2 linked regions of the Daphnia pulex genome follow. The protein of the gene in region 2 purifies or fractionates together with the protein of the main gene of each other region. This does not show direct contact. Links are inferred from orthologs where the notes say so. Each region holds a gene or a part of one and is shown on either strand. Other genes may lie near its edges.

The links.
Region 1: the proteins of glycogen synthase kinase-3 beta-like (region 2) and GSK3-beta interaction protein-like purify together in Drosophila melanogaster (affinity purification with mass spectrometry, with the first as the bait; 3 studies listed by BioGRID). This does not show direct contact. The link is inferred for Daphnia pulex from reciprocal best matches to the Drosophila melanogaster genes sgg and CG11523.

Annotation. Positions count from the first base shown.
Region 1 is NC_060028.1:7,359,513-7,362,029, forward strand, and holds GSK3-beta interaction protein-like, read left to right. Parts: upstream 1-1,613; coding exon 1,614-2,009; downstream 2,010-2,517. Other genes in the region: 5'-deoxynucleotidase HDDC2-like, read right to left, coding at 1-237, 295-456, 516-572, 638-702, 774-830.
Region 2 is NC_060024.1:9,786,522-9,790,359, reverse strand, and holds part of glycogen synthase kinase-3 beta-like, read right to left. Parts: intron 3,315-3,838; coding exon 3,128-3,314; intron 3,015-3,127; coding exon 2,761-3,014; 3' UTR 1-2,760.

The sequences.
Region 1 (2,517 bases), on a different chromosome or scaffold from region 2:
TCGCCATTCGCCACGGGAGCTGTCAGCAGGGCTCGCTTCTGATTTAATTCATCCACCCAGCGCTTCACTTCCGGATGCTTGAAACGACCCTCGGTTGCAACGAAGAATTCTTGCAGAGCCAGAGGCGTCTTATGAAACTCCTCGTATTCGTAAGCTTGGCAAATCATGTCGAAGCGGTCGAGATCTTTGACCAAAATTGCTTCTTGAGTTTCTTGGTTTTCATACTCCATGAACAGACTGGGATAATGTAAAATTAATATTTGTAACAGAAAAGGCACAACATTTTATGTTCACCTTTTCATATCTTCACCAGACAATTCAGGCACCAATTTGATTAGAGTCTCCATGGCTTCTTCCTCTCGACGATGTTTGTCTTCAACTGACACACCACAGTGAGGAGTCAAATCACCAACAATGCTTTCTGCCATATCATGGACAAGACACATTTTAAGGCACCTGAACAGAATACATTTTGGAATTTACTGAAGATGAATAAAATAAGAGAATAAAAATACCTTTGAATATCAACATCTTTGGTTTCCAAAAGAAAAGTCAACATGGCCATTCGGTACCTACGTCAGTACAAAATAAAAAATATTATTGTGGATTTTAAATTTTTTATCTGATAATTGCCTACATGTGACCAGCCACAGTTTCACAATTAGGGATGTCCCTTATCACCCAGCCAGTTCTCGGAAGATGCTACGATACAAAAATAAAAACGAAATGCAAACGCCGGCATATTTTTGCACACAAAGAAGTAATTCATTCACCTTCAATCTTCCCATGAACTGGCAAAACTCAAGAACTTTAGAATTAACTGCTGTCATTTCTTAAATTATTTTTGTGCAAAAATCACAGAATATCTATTATAAATTTGTTCTTTCGTGTGCAGAGTTGGGCAGTGTTTAATCGGTTACCGGGCAGCCATCGGGGGAAGGGGGATAGGAATCAGATGATCAGTTGAAATAACGAGCTTAGAAATTCTATCGGTAGAGGGCCGACAAAAATAGCTTTTTATATGCTTTCTATATTGAGTTTATAATTGAATTTGTAAAAATATATATTTCGTAAGAAAAAAATCAAAAAGAAACCTGATTTAAATGCATTTTTTAACTAAATCTAGTACAAAGTGGTAATCAGCTGACCCCTAAAGGCATACTATTTACGTCGTCTGTTACTGTTTTGGAAATTTGGACTTTGGTTTAGTCTGGTTTCAGGTCTCTGGTGTTATTAACTGGTTCGCTCTGATTAGTGCCTTCTTTGTTGAGTGACGAGTGTCCACTCCCTAGTCCGTAATTCAATAAGTGGCATCAATCCTGTGCGATATCGTAAACCGTGCAGTACACATCCCTTGTTGAAAAAAAAGAGCTTTGTTGATTGTATACCGGACGAAGCGAAAGTACAAAAGGTAATTGAAACCGACTTATTTCTTCATTTATTTACTTTTCGTGACCATACAAATTCATATCACCAGTTAGTGATATGAGTGAATCTTAATTAGCCTTCAAACTTTAGAGTTTGAACAATAGTAGTTTGGTATGGATAACACAAAGCAAACAAACTTTGACTTTAGATATTAAATTAATATTTTCATCACTGTAGGACTCTCAATGGCTGGGCACGATTATGATGAACGAATTCTTAATGGTGAAGAATGGACAGTAGAAGCCCTTGCAGTAATACATGATGTCAAGGACCATGTATTGGAGATAGTTATTGCAGACAGATCTGTCAATAATGATCAATTAATTCACATGAATCTGACTACCAAAGAGAAACAACGTTATTGCATTGAACTGACTGCCCAAGGATTTCGAGTAGTTGGTTATGACTACAATCGAACAGATGTTTCATCTGATGACTACTTTGAAACACCATACGCTTTACTCGACAAACTTAGTCCTTTGTATCGACAAGCATTTGGAGATTCTCTAGTTTCTAAACTTTTGTTGCTACATTCGTCTCGAAGACATAGCATGGACAACGAACCACAGCTAGATGATTGACCATAACTTACCGATTTTGTGAAATTTTAAGAAATGAACCAAAAAAGAATGGACACCATTGTTAAAAGACAACCATCTGTGCAACATTTTTAAGTTAACTCCGGACCCTTAAGTAGTAGTACTTCGCTTCTTATTACAGACGAACAAACAAATATGTTCTTCATGCTTGTCCTCCTTCCTGTGTAATGTCTATGTCAAAACTGCTTCCGAATTCCTTTTCGGAATAGTTAATAAATTTAACGTCAGTCACTTTAAATAGAGTTATATGTAATGTCGTTTTATTGAAATTGTTACAGAATATATCTATATACACACACATAAACGTGTAAATTGAATTGTTCGTGTTTTGTTTTTTTCTCCGCACCTGCGCCTTTGAACCGGAATGCAATGCCTGCATAACATATATTGTGAATTTCATCGATTTTACTACCCTAGATTATTATTGACATTTCCGTTCAAGCATAATCGTTTGATATCGACCGTTGAAGGACAACATAACATGGAAGAG
Region 2 (3,838 bases):
TTTTTCAATTAGATAATGTCCAATACAATTTCCTTTCCTTGATTGCAAAGATGGCGTATTGTCTTCTTATAATGTCGCAGTCTATATAAATGACGGAATAATAAATGTCAGGCTAATTCAAAGTGGCAACTGGAAAGCTTTCAGGTGAACTTGTTTTTACTTGCAGATTTGGTTTCGTCCCGCGGTCCGGGACCGTGACTTCCCTCACGTTCACCATCTAAATTTAGGTAAGTCATTCCGGTAATGAGGTAGTGGATTTAGTTTTCAAGTGTCCGAACGACAAAAATAGAGCCAGTCTTGTATGCGCATTCTGCGCGTGAGCGTCGACTTGATTCACGTCACGATCGACGCATTGCGGTGCGTAATGCGTCTCAGTGATTCTCGTCCCTGAATACTTGTGGCCATTCGTCTCGACTGCGTTGAAGCGCTGCTATGAATTTTGAAGACGTTATCAGATTGAACAATGTTTTCATCTTAATCAAGGTCCGATCAAATGTCCGTAATACGTGCCAAATATTAGCTCGCCATTTGAAGGCTGACGCACGCCGTGCAATTTCCATTTGGTTTGTTGTTTGTTCCTAGATTAACTCCAACGATTGAGAAAAGAAAAAATTATGAAATCCAAAGAAATATCCATTGCCAAAAGTTACCTCATTATTCATTACGCTGTCCTTGGCTAAAAGTCACCATCTGCATACATAATTATGAAACACTTGATTGATGGAGCCCATGACCTCAAATAGTAGCCTCACATTTTGTTTTCGGGCAGTACACGCGAGTGTATTTATAAGCTTTTGTATTCATCATACAGCCATGCGACATAAACACCAATGCAATTAATTAACTGTTGTTGTAGACACGTCTCTCGCATTCCTTTAATCGCCACTTTTCTATAGCGCGGAAAGAACGGGTTGGGATATTCGGGAAAAGGGGCAGAATGGGGAGAGGGAGGTTTTGCAAAAATTTCTCCATTTCGAGAACATGGAAACGTCAACAAGGGCGAGGACATGAGAGAAAAAGAGTCAACGGGATTTTCCTTATACGGTAGAAAGAGGATATAGGGTAATAGGGTAATAAGAGGGTGTGCAATCATCATCATATTATAACTTTGTCGTCGTCGATCAATTCAACACAAGAAAGGGTAGAATGAAGAAAAGCCTGACCCTAAACTCTTTTTTTTTTTTTTCCTTTTAAATTTAAATTTTTTAACATTTTTTCCTCCCACCTCTTTTGTCTTTTTTTCCCCAGCAGCACACGCACAAGTAGGTAGTGGCTATACAACTGATACTGAAACAATTGTTTTATTTTTTGTTTTTCTTTTGTATGTAATAATATTGACCTACTCAGAACTGAAATTGCATTTTAAAATCATAAAAAAAAAAAAAATTTAACTCGGCATGACGCTGTGGGGGAGGGATGTGAATGAATAAGAAACGAAACCTATCAGAGAGAGAAAGAGAAAGAAAGGGAAAAGAGAGATAGCCAGAATGAAAGAGAATAAACGGGAATCAGGGATAGGGACATACACGTGAGACATATAGCACAGCTTCACTCAGTTACGCCAGACGAGGAGAGAGAGGGAGGGCAGCAGCGGGATAGAGAGAGAGAGAGAAAAAAAGGTGTCTATAAAGTTCCGAGTTTTGAACGTTTCGAAAGAAGAAATATACGTTTTTTTTTAAGAGCCATGATAGGAGGGATGTAAAGGAGCAGCATCGTAGTGCACACACGGTATGAGCACGCTGTCGACGAAATGAATAAAGAGGAAGAATCGGGGCTAGTGTGAACGAAAAGGGATATTTTGTCAAATTAATTGGCAACAGCAGCTTGTTGTGTGTGTTGTGAGAGGGTTGTTATGAAACCGCCCTCCTCCTAAAATGGGGGTGATGAGAGATTTTCTTGAGGGAGGACGAGGTGAAGCGGAGAAATTTTCCGCGCATCAGTCCACCTGGTGGCTTTCGAGCAGGTGATTTTGTTTTCTTCCTGTACAGTACAACAAACGGAGGGAAAGAGGATGGAGTGTCGTTGGGAAGGGAGAGAGAGAGGGGGGGGGGGATAAGGACGACACGATCTACAACACGTGAAATTTTCTTTTTTGTCTTTTTTTTTTGTTTTTTGCTTCCATTTTTGCTTGCAGAGGGACTCGCAATAAACTACACATCCTCTGCTAATCCGTCGATTTGGTATAAGGGGAGTCGAGAAGGAAAAAAAAAAAACAAACAAATGATGTGGGAAATAAACCATGGGAGGGACGTCCGCGATCCAGAACCTGAACCAAGGTAACCGGACCGTGTTATCTGGGACGTAGCTCCGGCGATGAATCCGAAAAGGAATATATTTCCCGCGCTCACAAAAGACTATGTCCTGAAAATCTAAGTTTTGCTTCTTGTTACAAATTACAATTCTTTAGCTGTTGCTGTTGGGAGGTTTCAAAAAAGAGTCTAGTCCTTCATTCCTTAATGGGGGGAGAGTTTTTCTTTTTCTTCCCGTCACCCACCCTTTTTTCCTCTTGTTTCGTTTTTTTCGTTTAACGCTTAATGAATGTTTCCATGGCAGCGGTTGCAATCGATAATTAAGACTTCTAGCTTTTAAAAACTTCCATTTAATTCAAAAAAAGAAAAAAAAAAGTTATCCCCTTTCTTCCTTGGTTCAGCTCCTGTTTCTGCCATGCATATAGGAGGAGACGATTGGGTGGTGGTTAAAGTCTTGTCTTTTAGTTTTTTTCTTCTTCTTTTTCTTTTTCGTGGATTCGATTCGATTCTTCTATGCAGTTCCGACGGCTCCAAGAGTCTCACCGGTCGAAGAGCAGACATCAGGAGGTGAATGAATGTGACCCCCTGCGGCCCCCGAAGCTCCTGCTGCAGAAGATCCTTCCGCTCCACCAGCCGAATTAGGAGACCCAGTGGCTGAAGAATCTTGAGAGGGAGATGTGGCGTTCATGACGCCCATCAGGCCGCTAGCGCCTCGCATGTGGGGCGGAATTAGCACGGCGTTCAGGGCCGGTTGAATCTTCAGTTCTGTAATGCATCACCATGTAGGCGAATACGAAAAAGGAGAAACAAGACAACAATAATTAGAAATCGCACAAAATGTTTTCAAAGACCCGTTAGGTTTTTCTTAATGCTGTTACCATGTTCAGTAAAGTTGAAGAGGACGGGCAATTCTCGCCCGTTGGGTAACCTCGTATGAGGGTCCCTAAGTTCTTCGAAAAAGGTGTGAGCGCACGCCTCTAAAGGCGAGATGCGCGCCGAGGGGGTGTATTCCAAGAGACGCGAGACTAAATCGATCGCTTCCAATGGCGTCCGAGCACGGAAGACCTGACGAAAACACAAATTCAAATTTATGAACCGATTGGTGAGATTACTAAAATCAGCGACACGTCTATTAACACCGGACATTTAAAAATTTTTAGAAATTTTTGCAGTACATTTTCATGATTAGATTTTTTTCTGTGTGTTTAGCGTTGTTTGAAAACCCTTTATTTTTGGAGAAAAAAAATGAAAATGAAATAAAAATCTGGATCTCTCCAATGGATCGTGGAACAAAAAAAAAACGGATGGAACATGGTACACACGTATGGTGAACACGCTAGTCTTCATGCACCAGGCATTCGCTCATTTGACTGTGTGTGTGTGTCGGCAGAGAGGGAGGGCTAGCAGCCAACGCACACAACACAAGCGATCGATAGTTATTTTTTTGTGTGTGTTTCCTATCCTACTCGTGTCAGCAGGGGAGGCTCGGAGGGGGGTTTAACAGGAGGGGCGTTAAGGCGAAAGAGACAGGATTCTACTTACGCGAAACTTAACCACAGGTTTAGCTTCAGCCCGACTCACAGTAATTT